Linked DNA regions of Nothobranchius furzeri. The protein of the gene in region 3 binds, or shares a complex with, the protein of the main gene of each other region. Links are inferred from orthologs where the notes say so. Each region holds a gene or a part of one and is shown on either strand. Other genes may lie near its edges.

What was found. Proteins that work in one complex are often made in the same cells at the same time.
Region 1: the proteins of stub1 (region 3) and chic2 are in contact, whole or in part, in a crystal structure (PDB 8SUV), measured with the Homo sapiens proteins. The link is inferred for Nothobranchius furzeri from reciprocal best matches to the Homo sapiens genes STUB1 and CHIC2. Residues at the interface, in NP_005852.2 of Homo sapiens: Lys30, Asn34, Phe37, Tyr49, Val61, Asn65, Leu68, Leu71, Val94, Lys95, Phe98, Phe99, Gln102, Arg128, Asn130, Phe131, Gly132, Asp134, Ile135; in NP_036242.1 of Homo sapiens: Leu156, Pro157, Lys158, Thr159, Pro160, Ile161, Phe162, Arg163, Pro164, Asp165.
Region 2: stub1 (region 3) and bag3 share a complex: the UniProt entries of both Homo sapiens proteins name them as parts of the chaperone-assisted selective autophagy (CASA) complex. The link is inferred for Nothobranchius furzeri from reciprocal best matches to the Homo sapiens genes STUB1 and BAG3.

What each region holds. Positions count from the first base shown.
Region 1 is NC_091747.1:75,929,323-75,935,663, reverse strand, and holds the start of chic2 (cysteine-rich hydrophobic domain-containing protein 2), read right to left. Parts: upstream 3,546-6,341; 5' UTR 3,349-3,545; coding exon 3,218-3,348; intron 1-3,217.
Region 2 is NC_091752.1:5,542,434-5,548,591, reverse strand, and holds the start of bag3 (BAG family molecular chaperone regulator 3), read left to right. Parts: upstream 1-2,613; 5' UTR 2,614-2,641; coding exon 2,642-2,812; intron 2,813-6,158. Other genes in the region: tial1 (nucleolysin TIAR), read right to left, coding at 535-622, 724-778, 860-958, 1,044-1,140, 1,494-1,522. UniProt on the Homo sapiens protein: Co-chaperone and adapter protein that connects different classes of molecular chaperones including heat shock proteins 70 (HSP70s), e.g. HSPA1A/HSP70 or HSPA8/HSC70, and small heat shock proteins (sHSPs), e.g. HSPB8.
Region 3 is NC_091756.1:32,258,934-32,265,170, forward strand, and holds the start of stub1 (E3 ubiquitin-protein ligase CHIP), read right to left. Parts: upstream 3,574-6,237; 5' UTR 3,434-3,573; intron 2,767-3,433; 5' UTR 2,653-2,766; coding exon 2,539-2,652; intron 2,427-2,538; coding exon 2,228-2,426; intron 1,146-2,227; coding exon 980-1,145; intron 886-979; coding exon 810-885; intron 711-809; coding exon 654-710; intron 62-653; coding exon 1-61. UniProt on the Homo sapiens protein: E3 ubiquitin-protein ligase which targets misfolded chaperone substrates towards proteasomal degradation.

The DNA of each region.
Region 1 (6,341 bases), on a different chromosome or scaffold from region 3:
CTTCACGTGGTCACACACACACAAGTTCGCTCTGTGTGTGTGTGTGTGTGTGTGTGTGTGTGTGTGTGTGTGTGTGGTTTTTATGCAGCGTCTGTTTACGAACACATTTGAATATTGTGGAATTGTATTTTGAAATGCTTTATTTTGTTAAATTTACCGGCCTGCCTCTTATGTCTAGGTTTGACTTCCTGCCAGAATTGACGCGGTTCACCCGCGGCTTGCGAAAAAAATAGAGCAGACGCCGAAACGATCGCTGCACGGCGCAGGCTGGAGCGCAGACGTGCGCGGGAACGTGCCGGGGCGCTTCAGCGGCCCATGTGGTCTATAGAATAGGATAACAAGGGCGCCGAATGAAGGCGGTCCCCTTTTCGCGGCTCTTCGGCAGCCGGTGTGTCCCCGGCGTCAGTCGCTTAGGAAAAAAGTGTCTGCTAAACACATAAACATGAGGTATATGAACCACAATAGAGAGATTTCCATTTCCATGGTGGAAACAAAACCCATTGCACATTGCTGCCAACTAGTGGTTGGCGTTTGAACTGCACCAAAAGAAAAGAAAATACACAAATGTTTGCAAGTAAATTCTTCCAAAAGTTAGATACATGGCTTTTGAATATCACTGTAATGTCAAAAGAAAAAATATCACGATATACGTGAAAATCCAGCACCGAGTTTATTTTTCTCAATTTAGGTTTTATGATTCAGTAGCTTACTTTTAACACCTTTCACAATCTTGTAGCGTCTTTGGTTTTATTTGTGCCATTTCAAATGTTTTTTATCATTCATCGCATTAATTTTTATTTTTGATAGTGCAGTTAACTGCTCTCTTATTCTATTGTTTTTAGTAGGAATATTTATCCCTGATTATTTATGCTATGTTTTTATGTATTTTACCTGATTTTCATGCTTTCATTGTGCTTTGTTGATTTGTTCAAGCATTTGGCTCTTTTCTGTACAGCAGGTTGGTTAGCTGCCATGCTATTTTGAAATGGTGCTTTATAAATAAATTGGTATGGTATGGCATTGTTATATCGATATTTTCTTACATCCCTTTTAAAGCTGCTTTCTGGAGTTTTCCGCTTTCAGAAATGATGTATGATTTTTCAGAAATCCATAAAAGCGGTTGTCTCATCATGTACTGTGATAAAATGTAAGCAATGTGTCTTTTATTTATTTATTTATCTTTGCCAAGCACGCCCCCTGCCCCGCAGAGCTCCGTGCAATAGGAAACTGAGTGCCGATCAGAACTAACCAACAGCGTTAGACTACCTCTTACTTGCATCAAATTTAAGGAATACCTCGGCTGATGCAGAGATGATGAACTTTCCATGGACAAGTAAGTCTCTAAAATATAAATATATGAGAACACAACATGACATGAGAATAATACTCGTAAAACAACGTGTTTTAGATCTGTTTGTCGGCTACAGATGCACATTTATACGTGAAGTTGCGATCTTAAACAGAGCAACAGATTTTTTTGTGTGATATGCTTGTGAGCCACTAGATGGAGCCATCGGATAAGAGAAATACTCCGGAAAGAAGTTTTACGAGTTAAACTGAAAACCTACAGATAAAGTGAAATAAGCTCAACACGGCATAGCTGATCATACGATTACGGTTTAGTTTGCTTTAAACAGCAGGATGAAGGTTCATGTGATTCTAAATTTGTAACTAAAAGAGAAAATGACAAGAACAAGATCAGCTGATTCACAAACCAGTTCACAGCATAGCCTCTGCTTTTATACAATATGTAAACATAACAGAGATTATGTTAGGGATTATATAACTGAAATATTGTGATATTCTGTTTTATGATACTGAATCAATAATTAAATGCTGTGTATCGATTTCTACTGAGAATTTACATGCAAACATTTACTGTAATTTGTTTGTGTGGCGTAGTTCACTCCGTCTGCTAGGTGGCAGCAGTTTTTAACCGCCTACATTCTGATGGAACAAGATGTTGCGATAACACTGGATGTGTCTTGGGTGAGTTTTCTACTTAAATTCAGTCTTGATCTGGCTTTTAGTACCGCATTATGTTGTTTCTGGTGGTGTGAAGTATATTCTTTTGCCACATTCGATACACAGCTGATCTCTTCATTTAAACAGGAACAAAACAAGCAGACAAGTTATCTTTTCTCCATCTCGGGTTATTGCAATCTTTGTTCAGATGTTTAACTTCACTTATTTACAAGTTTTTCTTTTCATACAGTGTTGCATTATTTTTCCACCAAGACCTTGAGAGTCCAACCGCTGCACAAAGCCTTTTCTGGCATACCCCAGAGACTCAGTGATGTTATAGTCTGGGCTCTGCGGTGGACGATCCATGTGTCTCGTGCTCCCTGAACCACTCTTCCACAGTTTGAGACTGATGGCTCCTGGCACTGTTATCTGGGAACATGCCATCAGGGAAGAAAAACCCCACTGATGGATTAATCTGATTATTCAGTAAGTTCAGCAGACCTCATTCTTGGGGCACATGATGTTGCTGAACCTAGGCCTGACCAACTGCACTGATTCTAGATCTGAAATCCAGAGGGCGGCTTATTTTTGGACAAAAAAGTTGGCAGCAAATTGGTGAAAAGGCACCTTAAAGTAACCTTGAGACCACTTCAAAAAGCCTGGAGATACTGACTATACATCTAGAAAGGGTTGGCAGAATGTTTAAGATATTTGAAAGAAAATAAATAATTTAGGCCAGGTTTTAAACTCTTGCAGCATAAAAAGGTACATTTTAGATGCTTCAGAATATCTACACCAAGAAGATGGAGCAGCTTGGGTGAACAGTATCATCTAGTATTTTTTATGTGTAAACCGTCTAAACTCGAAAAAGTCTGACCGGAAGAGACAAGATTCGGGAAACTGAGTCCAGCTGTTACATATGAGGAATGAAACGGACGTTAGTAAATATAGTTAACCACAGTAACTTTGTTTTTATAATTAAAAAACAATGCTGAATGCTCGACAAAGAGTGCCGTTGGTATCAACAGCGGGCTGACTTGTCAGTGGCTAAAATAACACAATTATTATGGTGAATTCACGATGAGAAAACAAAACAAACTCTTCACCGCCGTCCTCTAACTGCTCACTGTAGCCAGTTGTTAGCAGCTAGCTAACTCGGCTAAGTCACCAGCTAGTCCGCAAGTTTCCCCTCACACCCCGACAAGTTGTCTTTTACCGGGAACGATCCCCGCCAGTCCCGCCGGTAGCTTACACAGTAGCGTGGCCGGAGCCTCGCACCACCACCGGGTCCGGAGCATACTTGAGGAGCTGCTCTTCCGCGGCCCTGTCCTCGTCCTCTTCTTCTTCCTCCTCTTCGTAGATCTCATCAAAGTCCTCCATCATCTCCCGACTCGATCTCACCCCGGTAAAGACACCGGGAGAGAAACGACACCGAGAACCACGGAAACCTCTCAGAGAAACGCGCACTGAACAGAGAGGATGACCACAAAAATATCAAGTAGCTCCCATCGCTGTCCGAGGCGAGCTACTAACAAAACATCAACATCCGCCGCAGTAGCTGTACGACACCGGAAGTGGGACCGACGTCCTTACGTCTTTTTGTTTGTAGTTTCTATCATAGTCACTCAAATAAATTGTTACTTAGTTTTTGTTTCCTTTTTCTGAATTTGACACACACACACACATAAAGAAAAAAAAATTATTAATGAATATAACCATATTCGCCTGAATCCAGACTAACAGAAATAAAGAGCTTAAAAATAAATAAACATGGCAAAAAATATATCATAATAAATAAGGCAAGGGGAAAAAATGGTAAAAATAGAATAAAATCACATTTTCATTTTGGTTTTCTACTCTTAAAAATTCTATTCGTCTTTTGTTCCTTTTTTATTTCATTTGTTAAAAACATGTTTACCTCATTCTCATTTCTTTCTTGGTGATAGTTGTACTTGTTTTTTGGAAATTCACTTTCGGATGTTTTTTTATAGATATAATATATTTGATTAGAAATTACACACGCCTGCTGATAAAACGTTATAACTAAATTAGTTTATTCAATATTACCTACTACTCCTTGAACCGTCACCTTATCGTGGTGGAGGAGTTTCAGTGCCCTAATGATCCTAGGAGCTATGTTGTCTGTGGCACTTTGTGCCCCTGGTAGGGTCTCCCATGACAAATTGGTCTTAGGTGAAGGGTGAGACAAAGAAAGGTTCAAAGGATCTTTCATGGATGTAAATTCAAAGAGTCGGAGTACCCGGCCCGGAGGGTTAACTTACCGGGGTCCCACCCTGGAGCCAGGCCTGGGGTTGAGGCCCGTGAGCGAACGCTTGGTGGCCGGGCTTTCGCCCATGGGGCCTGACCGGGCCCAGCCCGAACCGGATACATGGGCTCATCCAACTGTGGACCCACCACCTGCAGGAGGAGCATGAAGGGTCCGGTGCAGTGTGGATCGGGTGACAGACCAAGGTGGGAGCCTTGGTGGTCCGATCCCCGGACAAGGAAACTGGACTTTGGGACATGGAACGTCACCTCACTGGCGGGGAAGGAGCAGGAGCTTGTGGCAGAGGTTGAGCGGTACCGGCTAGATATAGTCGGACTCACCTCGACACATAGCATTGGCTCTGGAACCCAAGTCCTTGAGAGGGGTGGGACACTCTCCTTTGCTGGAGTTGCACCCGGGTGAGAGGCGGAGGGCTGGGGTTGGCTTTTTGTTAACCCCAAGTCTCTCTGCCTGTGTGTTGGGGTTTACCCTGGGGGATGAGAAGGTAGCTTCCCTGTGCCTTCGGGTCGGGGAACGGGTCCTGACTGTTGTTTGTGCTTATGGGCCAAATATCAGTTCAGAGTACCCACCCTTTTTGGAGTCCCTGGGACGAGTGCTAGATAGTGCTCCATCAGGGGACTCCATTGTCCTGCTGGGGGACTTCAATGCTCACGTGGGCAATGACATCTTGACCTGGAGGGGTGTGATTGGGAGGAACGGCCCACCTAATCTGAACTCGAGCGGTGTTTTGTTATTGGACTTCTGTGCAAGCCGCAGTTTGGCCATAACGAACACCATGTTCGAACATAAGGATGCCCACCGGTACACTTGGTACCAGGGCAGCCAAGGTCGCAGGTCAATGATAGACTTTGTAGTCATATCATCTGACCTGCGGCCGTATGTTTAGGACACCGGAGTGAAGAGAGGAGCAGAGCTGACAACTGATCACCACCTGGTGGTGAGTTGGATCAGATGGCAGGGGAAGATGCCGTGTAGACCTGGCAGACCCAAACGCATAGTGAGGGTCTGCTGGGAACGCCTGGCAGAAGAACCTGTTAAGACGGTCTTCAACTCCCACCTCCGGCAGAGCTTTGACCGCGTCCCGAGAGCAGTGGGGGACATTTACCCAGAGTGGGCCTTGTTCCACTCTGCGATTGTTGAGGCGGCTGTTGCTAGCTGTGGTCGCAAGGTGGCCGGTGCCAGTCGTGGTGGCAACCCCCGTACCCGCTGGTGGACACTAGAGGTTCAGGGAGCCGTCAGGCTGAAGAAGGAGGCCTACAGGGCGTGGCTGGTCTGTAGGTCTCCGAAGGCAGCAGACAGGTACCCGATAGCCAAGCGAGGAGTTTGGTGAGGTCATGGAGAAAGTCTATCGATCGGCTCCAAAGAGTTTCTGGCAAACTGTCCGGCACCTCAGGAGAAGGAGGCAGCAACTCGCTCACACTGTTTACAGTGGGGATGGGGAGTTGCTGATGTCAACTGGGGCTATAGTCGGACGGTGGAAGGAATATTTGAGGAGAACCTCAATCCCACCTATGCGCATTCCGAGGAGGAACCAGAGCCGGGGGACCTGGGGATGGACTGTCCAATCTTGGGGGCAGAAGTTGCTGAGGTAGTCAAACAACTACACAGCGGTGGAGCCCCGGGAGCGGATGAGGTTCGTCCTGGGTATCTCAAGGCTATGGATGTTGTAGGGCTGTCATGGTTGACACGTCTCTGCAACATTGCGTGGTCATCGGGGGCAGTTCCTGTGGAGTGGCAGACCGGGGTGGTGGTCCCCATCTTTAAGAAGGGTGACCTGAGGGTGTGTTCCAACTATAGGGGGATCACACTCCTCAACATCCCTGGAAAGGTCTACTCCAAGGTACTGGAGAGGAGGGTCCGATCGATAGTTGAATCTCAGATTGAGGAGGAGCAATGTGGTTTTGGTCCTGGCCGTGGAACTGTGGACCAGCTCTATACCCTTGCAAGGGTGATGGAGGGGGCATGGGAGTTTGCCCAACCAATCCACATGTGTTTTGTGGATTTGGAGAAGGCTTATGACCCTGTCTCCAGGGGCACCCTGTGGGGGACGCTCCAGGAGTATGGGGTGGGTGGCTTTCTGTTAAGGGCC
Region 2 (6,158 bases), on a different chromosome or scaffold from region 3:
AGCGGCCGGCGGTGACAGTGTTCAGCAGGCCTCACCTTGCCTGCTGGTGGTGGTTGGAGGGACTGGTGGCGTCTGAGCTCAACAGCCTCACCTCTGTCAGAGAGCCCCAGGGCAGCTGTGGCTACAATGTAGCTCATCCCTACTAGTGTAAGAATGTGTGTGTGAACGGATGAATGATACACTGCAGTGTAAAGCACTTTGGAGTCTTCAGACTCTGAAAGGCGCTATGCAAGTGCAGGTCATTTATCATTCATTTACTTGTTTTTATTGTTTTGAGTGAGACTTTTTTGCCCTGATGAAGAAAACTCTTTTATTATTTGAAAACAGAAAATAAAGTCGGTCCATCTTTCACAGCTAAGTCAATAACCCTAAAAAAATGCATGTAAACATAGTTGTAAGTGAATGTGATGAGAATGGGCTATTAGATGAGGATCAGCCTATTACAAGGCTAAAATAAATAAATATAACACTGAAGAAGATTTATTTTTATACTGTATTTGAACAGCAACAATGACAATAATATGAAAAACTCACGAGATTTTCCCAAAGGGTGAAAATGCAGCTCTGACGTCTTCGGTGGTAATCTCAGGATTCAAATCACCCACAAAAACATGGAAGTGATCTAAAACAAATTTTTAAAACGTAAAAATTAAAAAATGCTTACAATCCTTGTTTAACTTTTTAATTAGATTAAAATAAACCAGTGAAATTGTGAAGGCTTACTGGATGTGTCTTTCTTCTGGCTACTAGGTGTTGTGGCCCAATTAACCTTAACCTCCTATTTAAAAACAGTGACAAGCAATTAATATACAGAAACATATTAAAACTATGGGGGGGAGAAAATGACGGGAACTCTTACCTTTCCAAGGATTTTTCTCCCATTCATGGCTGCAAGGGCAGCAGCAGCATCTTTGTGCTCGAAAAACTCCACAAAACAATACGGGTCATTGCTTGTGTGCTGCAGCAACATGAAACAGTTTAGTGATGGATTTGTTTTTAGGGCTAGGATATACATTACCATAAAAGATAACGGGTAGTTTTACCTCTGTGATCATTTTGCAGCTTTTACACGGTCCAATCTGGGAGAAGAGTTGTAAAATCAAAACCTCTGTAACGTCCCAGGAGAGGTTTCCCACGTACCTGCAATGAAGAGGAAGTTTAAAATGTAGACGAGGTTTAATTCAGATTCAGACCTACAGTAATTTATGATTTATATATCACAGATCATGATGTAGAGGACACTACCAGCTAACGTTATATAAATATCCTCGTTTCCAATGTGAAACTGTTTAAGGTAATCCCTCATCTGAACTAACGTTTTTTTTAATCGTCGAAATATACGTGTTTTTGAACGCCTACTAATTAAAAACGTAAATTAACACTTAATATTGAACGTTGTCTACACTTGTTTTTTGGACATGTAGCTCAGTTAGCCGCTGCGTATGAGAAACCAAACGAAAGCTAGCTACCACGAAAACACTAAAAATACTTACAGGGTTCTGGGGTAACTTTCGTCGTCCATGACCAACACTGAACGTGACGTCGTAGAAAAAATATAAACTATTTGGTAATTAAAGGACGTAGACTGAGAGATAAACGCTGTAAACAACGAGCTAACTAGCTTAGAAAGCTAACCGGGCAACGTTTCTTACGTCACGCTGAGTGTGCTAACTGCGCCTGCGCATGAGCACCGAAAGGTCAACCCAAAGGGTCTGGGTCAACCTTTAGTTCGAAGCTATAAATGGCTTAATTTTATTCTGTAAGTTGAATTCACCGTGTGTAAATAGAAATTAATTGAATAAAACAGTTGATTCAGAGAATATAATGACTTATTTCCCTCTTGCTTTTCGAAAGCAACGCAATTTACGTAAAAGGCTTTTATTTTGAAGTCCATTACATGGGTACGCTCGTTTTGTATTTCGAGGTTTTCACGATTTGGACTCGAACAAAACAAGCATCGGTACTCATTTTTCACAAGGTTTTCCGAATTTTTAAACTTGATAATAGAAACAAGATGGGGTTCTTTTCCTCACAAAAATGACACACATTTTATAACAGACTAGATGACATACATATTTCTAATTTTAATCTCAGAAAGGAGCCAATATTCTACCCTTTCTCATAATTCTTACAATCTAAGAAATCTGAGAAAATAACTTTTTATCAGTGGCCTTAATTCTCCTCCGTAGATATTTATCAGAACGATAAATCATATTTGTTTCAAGTTCCTGGCGTTTTGTGTCTCCGCACCGATGCAGACGCATAAACAGGTTTAGCAGTTGCATCTCTAAGCAAATTGGATTGAGGGGAAAAACTGCTGTTCAAACCCCAGGTCTAATAGATTTGCGCATGCGTGAGTGAGAAGGTTTCAGGGTTATTACGTGATTCTGGGGTTGTTATTAAAGTAGAGCTGGTAATAGCTGCTCTCTGTAAACACCAACTATAACTAAATTAATGTAGTGTCTTTTGTTGGGGGGTGTCTGCGACACAAGAAGTAGCCGCCATGCCGCTGCTTCCAGCGCGGTCCGCCGCCCCCGACATTAACCCCGCTATTTCGAGAAACTTCCAGCCCACTTTCCTACGTCACTCGCAGGAATCTTTAAAGGGACCGCCGCCCATAAAAAATGTCTCAGTACTCGCCATGAACGCAGTGAAGACGCACTCTCCGACACTTGTGATGGCTGATAATGACATCGACCAGCTCCCCCTCGGATGGGAAGTCAAAATCGACCCTCACACTGGATGGCCCTTTTTCGTGGATCACAACAACCGGACGACAACCTGGAATGACCCGAGACACGACACCAAAAAGGTAACGGAGGCGGGATAAAGTTGTTTCAACGGGTTTCCGTAGGGTGCTGCGTCGGTTACGGATTGTGTTAAGCTGCTGGAGTCGCTACGCTACATGGCTGTTTTGTGTTAATCTTGTTGACTGTAGGCCTTGTTAGGTCCCGTCGCCTCCCCCTCACTGACTGCTCATAAGCCTAATAAAACGGGTGATCAGCCCCGTTATGTTCCCGAGTCATGATCTAACACTATTATTACCCGATGACTCACTGCCGAGTGTCAAGGCTTTCTGATACCAGCGTTAATTTAGGTGGAAAACTCATTATAAACTTTTTTACCCACAAAATAAAATGCAGTTGGGTCCCATTCCATTTAGGATATTGAATCTGGTTGTTTAGATGTGGAAATGTAGAAATCTACAGGTCTGTAATCAAATCCGTGGGCTGACGTGAGCTCCACAGGCTGCCAGCTGGGTAATCTTTCTTCATAGGGACAGACACTGTTTTCCAAAGTTAGTGTCCTGAGGAATCTGCTAGAAAGACACAGCTGTTGAGGGATAAAATTGGTGCATTGGACCAGGCAGAGGGCAAAGGGTCGTTCACGGCTATTTCTCAACTTTTGCTGGAGGATTATCAATAGTTCACACATTAATGCCCTGCTTGTAGTTGTATTTTATTTATTTTTTATTATCTCAGCTGCATGGGGCACTTTCAGTGTTGGTGTTTGATCATTCTGAGGCTTATGTAAAAAAAGTATTTGCACCTTTACAGATTTCTTCTGCTTTTGTTCTTTTTGTTGTCACGCATAAATGTTTCAGATCAGCAAAGACAAAATGCAGTTTTCAGATGAAGACTTCAAGTTCTCTTAACCAATAACTCTGAACACTCTTGGACAGAGGCGGCACCAGGACATTTTCATGGGGGACAAGATTGGGGGGCCAAGGAAAATTTAAGGGTGGCACATCAAACTAGTTCTCTTGGTAACTCTTGAGTTTTTTAGCCTGTAGCTGTGCTCTGCATCCTCATCCATTCTTAAAAAATATGCAGCAGAAATGTTATATTTGAGAAAATAAGAAACTTCAAATATTTAATTTATTCATACTTTAACATTTACTTTTTAGTAGTTTAGAACAGCTGGATGTATCTGTCGCTGTCTTAATGAATGCATTTTACAAAACAGATTGATATTTGTACTTCTTCTTGAAAATGGTGCACAGCAGCAACATATTAATTTGTTTACTTATTTCTATATTTGTAAGGTTTTACATTTTATTAAAGAAGACTAATGTATAGTTTTGTGAACATAAATATTGAACATAAATATGATTTATTAAAGGAGGTTGGAGAGTGGAAGTGCTCTGAGGTGGCCAGCAATTTTCCAGGATTGGTCAAGGCCCCCCTCTGGCCACCACTTGGGGGCGCCACTGTTCTTGAAGGCAACAACTGCAATTAAAGAGACGGTGTGTATTTTTCCTGGCGATAGGGGGCAGTAGATACATAAATCGTTGCAAGCAAGCAGTATTTTTGTGTTTGAGTAACCCCAAAATTCCACTATCTCCGCTCCGGCACGAACTCTGCAGCAAAAACGGTCCCGTTGTAGTCAATCAGAGCTGTTCCACTACTGCGGCCGTGCGGCGCAGTGAGCCGTTCCGCCATCCGGCAAAAATGGATTGATTCTATTTTTGCCGGACGCCGGAGCACCTCCGCAGTCAAAGGACAGAAATCACAATCGCCCAACAGGAAAGGGAGCAAGCACAACTTCCGTTATTTCACAATAAATCGATAAACAAAAAACGTTTTTTGTTTCATATGCACATGTTTAACAACTTTTAACAACTATCAATGGCGGTTGAACTTTAAATGCACAACATAAGCCATAAATACAGTTTCTACTATCAAAGTAGTCACACTTTGTTGATCCAAACACTGCTGATCTCTCAACACAAATGATGGGCAGATTAAACAGTTCATTTCGATGCTTCCCCCACACAACGGGTGTTTGGATCTAACTTCCAACGAGCATTTATTGCTCGGACTGTATCGCAAGATCTCGAAAATCCAGCGCATGCCTGTTTGCGCACCTCAGGTCTCTGCACCGGAGCGGAGCCGTTGTAGAGCGGGTACCAGTAAAAATTGAGTTCGGAAGCGAGCGGCTGCGGAAAGCGACAGATGCTCATTAGGGTCAAAAAGCCCTGGGGAGTGCAAACTTTAGTAAAATGACAAGCACATCAGACTCCCTTTAATCAGTGGCAACAAGTGAAGAGGTAAATGTGTAAAACAACATTTAAGAATGACAAAAGTTTTGTAACTGTTTGTTACAAATCAGTAAATGCAATTTGTCCTCACGGGCTCCCTTAGAAGGAAACTTGACATCTAATATGGAGTCACCCAGAGACTTAGACCCACTCCCATGTATTTTAGACCTGATTTTTATGGTTATTATACAAAGCCGTCAATCATTTTCAACAACTGGGCATCATTCCATTAATTTAACGACATTTTGATGGATATTTCCAGAAATGAATGATTAAAAACTACACATTGTCTCTTTAAGCTCAAGAACAACGAGTCAATCTCTTTAAGAGTCTCACTTGGAAATCACCTATACGTTATATAAAGGGGAAAGTTGCCAAAGCCATAGCAGTATTCTATAGAGTCATGTTTCTACTAAGTTGGTCTGGGTTATTAATGTTGTATCACTCACTGATTGAACCATATTTAATTTATTGTTTGGAAATTTGGGGAGCCACATGCAAAACTTTTACTCAACCTTTGTTCATTTTACAAAAAGCGCATTGAGAATCATAACAGTAACTATAGAGATCCCTCTAATCCATTATCCATTAGAAATAAAATACTGAAATTTCCTGACTTGAAAATATTGTAAATAATGTACAGAGCGAATACGAGTAATTTACCAACTAATATTCCGAAAATGTTTCATAAGAGAGTAAGTGGGTACGTGTTAAAAGGGACTGATGTCTGATGTAAACCTGAATTCAGAATGTAATATTTCTGTAAATGGTGTAAGATTGTGGAACGCCCTTAACAGAGAAATTAAAGAATCAAACTCACATGCTATAAATATTTAAAAATGTATAAAATCAAATGTATTAAGTAATTATGAAAAGGTAAACTAAAATGTCAATGATTATATATAAACAGTAGAACGGGACTAAGGTTATATTGTGAATGTTATGTGCTCGTTTTCATTCAAATGTTTTTTTTTCATTACGTTTATGTATTTGTTTGTGTTTATTTTATAAATTTTGAATGAAATAAAAAGAGTTTTAAAAAAGCATTTGTGACTGGTCTCATCACTGTGGAGGATTTTTTTGACGCACTCATAATTCAGCCTCATTGGAGAGTTTT
Region 3 (6,237 bases):
AGGGCTCCCTCATCAACTCAAAACTGATTTTCCCACAAAGATAATCTGGAATCTCTCGCTTCTGGAATCAGGAAAAGAGGAAACTCTAAACAATCAGGGTTTCTATACAATTAGATGATTTATTCTGGTCTAACAGGGTCCAGGTCATCAACAAGCTGCTGCTTAGCAACCACACTGATGTCACTTCCTCCTAAAAAGCCTCAACGATCATCCTAATACGATATTAAGCAAACACATAACAGATTGATACATCTTATTCTAATTTCAAGGCCAGTTCCATCCTCCCTTATACGACTACAACCTCAATATAAACAACCAGCTCTGGCAAGAAACTTGGCAAACAGCAAGTAACAGTCGTCATAGAAACAGCTTGCGCTAAAATTAAAACAACCATCTTATTTCATGCGATCTCATCTGTCAGTGAAGTTACTGAGGTTGTATAAAAATAAAATAACCGCAAAAGATAGACTTAAATAAAACAGATCTCAAGTCAGATCTGAAGAATCAAGTATATTTGCTGCTCTTATGCCAACTACAAAAATGGGGGAGGGGGGGGGGGGAGACACACACTGTTTCTCTGTTAGATTATTTAAAGTATTTAAATATGAATTAAATGAAATAAACAACAAAAAATTAACAACTTGTCAACTCACTTTTCTTTTCTCGTCCACTTGGGAGAACAGCTCGTCCATGTCCATTAAATACTTGTCCTTAGCAGGTCACGTTTACATGTAATGAAAATGTCCCAAAATTAACATCAACGCATATTTTGGTCAGTAAAAAGTGTGAAAATCAGGGCAAAACCCAACGTGTTTTGATGAAATCTTTGCTGCATCTCCTCCGCTTTGATTGTCATCCTGTTTTTCTCTGTATTCTTCAAGTTCTCTATGAAAAATAGTAAACGCCACGTTATATCACTAAATCTAAACCACCTGGAGCACAGCGTGCCAGAATGTATTTCAGAAAAATCCCATCTGACCTCTCCTTCTCAGCCAGGATGAGTTTGGTCAGGTAGGCGTGCAGCTCGTTCTCCTGGTTGATGCGCTTCTCCTCGATGCTGTTCCAACGTTTTTTCTTGGCGATGCGTAACGCACTGGGGATGTCGTCTCCAAAGTTCAGCCTCTGCTCTTTTGCCAGGTTATACGCTATAAACAAATAAATAAGTCACATTAGTTAAAACTTGGAAGTTTGGAAAACGGTCAAAAAGAACATCTAAACAGTCTTTAAATCAATTTTCTATCAATTCCATGCTGCTGCAGAAGAGCTGGTGCTGTGGCTGCTTAACAATTTCCCAACGCTCTGAAATGGTAGGTTAGGTTGTAGTTAGAAGATAGAGATTTTGCACCTGCAGCTACACATGACCAAGCTTTCTCTATCATTATGACGCAGACTGGAGACACTGACTCAGTCCATCAGCACCCACCAGGTAACCAGCCTCTGATTGCTCTGGTTTGGCCTGTAAACTATACATTTATAATAGAAAGCATAAATCTGACCCTCGTGTTGTGTTATGGTTTTAGACTTATCCATGAGTTTTGAAGTCAGCCGGTATCCAGCATGTTTTAGTTGTTTCCCTGCTCCAACACATCTGATTTCACTCAGCAGGTGATTAACAGGCTTCTGAAGACCTTGATGAGCTGCTGATTAAGTGTGTTGGAGCAGGGACACAGCTAAAACGTGCTGGATACCGGCACTCCAGAACCAGGATTGGACTCCGCTGCTTTAGTAAAAAAAAACAAATAACTGTTGCACATTGGGTTTAATGCTCTGTGTGATCTGCTTGTTTGAAGAACTTGTCTGGAGACTTGTCAGCAACATTCAAAGATATAAATGAGTAAAACACACGGACTGAACAGTGTGAGTCTGTCAGCCAGCAGCACTTAAACATCAGCTTTCTGGTATTTAAAATAGGCAGAAATTACTGGAGATTGTATTACAACATTTAAGGGTCATGTTGAACTGTGAAAAAAACGGACTTTTCTGAAATGTTACACAACAAGTCATTAATTTATCTACACAACATTGATGTAGACATGGAATAGAACTTTTAAAGATTGCTGAAGACAATGGGGACGAGAAAACAACTACATAAAAGGATGACAATACAAAAACTTCAATCTAAAAGGAATTATGAAAGAAAAATGAAGGAACTTGTGAGACGAACTTTTCCCCCCAAATGACGCAAAACTCAGCCATGTTTACATCCTCTTTAAGGACTTCCTCAAACCTTTCTGCAGGTTTCCAATAGCCTCGTCGTAGTTCTCCAGCTCCAGGTGACACTGACCCAGGAAGAAGTGTGCCTTAACGGACTGGCTGTCCAGCTCCAGAGCATGCTTGCAGTCAGCCAGAGCCTTGTCATACTGCTGCAGCTTTACATGGCAGAGGGCCCTGTTGGTGTAGTATACAGCCACTGATGGATTACGGTTCTGTGGGACAAAATAAACCAGAAAGTGTGTTAATGAATTATCTGTAATCAGAAACATTTGTATTCTTCCAGCTTAGATGACTTAAGACTCAGACATCCTTAGTGCCACTCACAATAGCTTTGCTGTAGCAGGTTGCAGCCTCCTGGTACTTGCGGCAGAGGAACAGCCTGTTCCCCTGCTCCTTCAACTCCTGCGCGGTGGAACTCTTCTCCGGGCTGCCGGCCATCTTCTCCACCGGCTCCGCGGGGCCCGCCTCGCCCTGCTTCCCAATCCTGTTCCCCGTCTCTTCGGCTGGCCAGACGTCAGAGTTCAAAATGACCAGTCCGTCCTGGATCGCGCTCTACAGAGCAGACACCACAGGGTTTACTGCACTGCAGCTGCAATGCGCGTCTTTTAGGTGCAATGCTGCTCGATGCCACCCAAAAGGTTTGATTTGCTGACTGCGCGCACTGCCGCTGAAAAACACAGCTAGGTGCCTAGACTGAATTAACTATTCATATGACGGACATCGGCGTGGGCTGCAATCTGCAATGAGCACCGCTTTGAGTATTAAGTCAGGGTAACTTTACACCAGAGGTAGCCGAAAGGTGACGACCGACACCTCCAAACAGATCACTCGCTTGCGCAGGAACAGTTGGAGGCTAGCTGCTGTGGAAGAAAATGTTCTCAGACGAAAAAATTCACAACTTTAGTGAGACCAGAGATCGCTGCTATGCCTAGTAAGCTAGGCTACGTGGTCGGTTTTCACCGGGGGTTGCTAAAGGATTCCGCTCATTCAGCTCTAGTTAAACTCACTGAATTCATCAAATGAACAATAAATGCCACGTTTGATCCCAAACTATTCTCAGCCGGACACTGTCGTTAATAATATAGTACACCAAGACCCGGCTAAGCGATAAGTAAAAAAATCTTTAGCTAATGCTAAAATTAGCCTGTTAGCCCAAAGCCTCCCCTGTTTCTGGTTTAAACTGAGTTCGTTGTTAAAGCCTACCGTTTCCAACTCTTACCTTTAATGATAAATCTTACATCCAGATGATTGTGACTTCATTTATTTTGATATACAGTCTTTAAGTATTGATTTTCCCCGTACGAGCTCTCATGACAAGTTGTTGTTATGCTGACGTAAAGGGCTTTTTTACGTTACTCCAACGGAAGCCGAAAGGACACAATTAGTGCGATGAAATAAAAAGCAAATAACTGAAACTATGTATCAGTTATTACCTCCTAATCTTTCATTTAGAATAAAACAAAAAATGTTTTATGTATAGAAAGACTTACCAACAATTTCATTTGTTTGTGAAATGCAGTAAATAACGTTTAGTATTTTGAGTATACTTTATTTTATTAAATAATTGTCTTAATTATTATTTTGTAGCTATTTAAACACCATTTTTAAGTATCATTTATTTTTGTACATTTACGTGTTAATACGTAACATTTAGACAAATTTATTAAGATGGCATGTGAGTTATTTAGTCATTATTTTTTATCACATGTAGACATAGATTCAAGCTATTCAAAAGTATTAGTAATTCCAAAACACATTTTACATATTCATACATAATAGGTTTTGAGGTCAACTATTAATTGACAATAAAGGTAAAAAAACGTGTGCATCTACTGTTGTACTGAACATCTTTTTATATTTTTTAATTATCTTTATTTACTAATTTAGCATTAAATCAAATAGTTATGTACAAATCCTAATGCAGTGGTTTCAAATTCATATTCAGGTAGGATGCTATGTCAGAGTGTCAGAAAATGCAATAATCCTACCAAAATAAAATGTGGATTACATTCATATACCCTTTGATGGCAACTTTGTACAAATCTGTTAAAACGTGGATCATTTATCAACATTCCTTTCAGGATTCTCCTGGCATGTTGATCAATGATGAATGATCAAACAGACTCACATATTCTTGTTATGAAATGATATCCAGGATCTTTGTTTGCTGCTGTTATTTTGGTAGACTTGTTTTTTTGTTTTGTTTACATATTTAAGTCGAAGCCAACATTCTCTTTGTGGATTTCAAAGTTTAACTTAAACTTTATTTAAATTAGAGTCTGTGTGTCAAATTAAAATTTTTATTATCTTATAATACCATAAAGCAAAGCAAAGCACACACACACACACACACACACACACACACACACACACACACACACACACACACACACACACACACACACACACACACACACACACACACACACACACACAAATTACTTTTTTTTTAATCACGGCTTGTCCTACTTTGATCTGAAGCTTCACCAGCAGAGGGCGCTCTGTGCTGCAAAATTACTTGAACATCAAAATTGAAAACGTCTAACTGTGTAGAGACCTGCAACAGCAGAGAAGGACAACAGGTCTCTATTAACTTATTTCATGGATGCCAAGATCTTTTGAGGCTTCAGTGATGTAAACTTTTGAATAATTAAATCAAAATATTAAGATTGGTCCTAATATTCACAAACGCACCTCTAACCCTTTGCCAAAGTAGTAGAAGTCTGTTAGAAACAGGTCATCACTTTGTTCAGTCGTGGATGACATCTTCAGGGAGGGGTTGGGTAATGTTCAAGACTTTATCATAAAGTATCTCAGAGACATCCCACCCACAGGGAGACCTACAGACGACCTTTATAACTAAGATCTTTCAAGTTTAGCAACAGAGAAACTAGCAAGACAATGATTTTGGACAGGGTCACTTTCATCCCAGCCTGTGTGAAGATTAGGACACATCCCCAGAGCAAACACACATATAGATGTGTTAAAGAGGGGGGGTCCAACTGAGCTGCAGACCTAGCAGCAGTGAGTGTCCCCAGCTGTGTTTACCGATCTCCACCAGCTTGGTGTGTTGATCCTCCAGAACACCCACCAGCTCAACTAATCTGTAAGTCTGAGGAATGCTAAAGCCTTCTGTGGCATCTATAGGGTGGGTGCAATATAAAACACATATTAAGCTGCTAGGATAAACAGTCCTTTTAAGGATGATGGGAAAATTGTTTCATGCAAATTATCACCTTAGCAGAGGACTCTTTGGGATGCTTGCACATCTCTGGCATGTTTTTCATTTGGTTTAGTTCAATTGTTTTGTGTTTCATTAGTGATCAGAAACACAAGATGCTGCACTTTCCTGAAAATGTATGGATCGAAGAATTCAAATAGTGGACTGAAAGTTTATGTTCCGCAACATTGGAGGAACTTTTTATTAGAACAGAATAGACTTTATTAATCCCAGTAGGGAAAATCACTCGTTACAGCAGCACATACGCTTGGAGAGGAGGAAGAAAGCTATTATTGTAATCTTCAACCGCTAAAAACAACAAATAAAGAATGATCGAAGGATTAGAATTAGTAAAAGTGATTAGAAAAGTGTTTCAGAATCATTCTTCAGCTGTTTTTCTCTTCAGAGAGATGTGCAAAAAGAAGAGATTGGGGTTGTTTGGGGTAAGTTTCATTTTTAAACGTTTTTACCAACTGCTTACATTTAAATGCTGGACTCCTCCTGTCCACCATCACAACCGCCATCCTCCTCTGTCCTCTATCAAACCCAACGGCTGCACCAGCTGGCTGAGCTTCCAGTAACCAAGGCAACCAGGCTAGGAAGTTTCTTGACTCCGTTGGCAGGGCTAAAAAGCTGCCACTTCCTGATGGAGCCTTGTCTTTCTTTCTGCCAGTGTAGTTGTTTTTTTTTTTTCTTTTGGCAGCGTATTTCACTGTTTAGTGCCAAGTCAGAATAAGAGAACACACTCTTCTTCAAACCTCTGGTTCAAATGAGGAAGTCAAAAGCAGGAACTCTCCACCGCG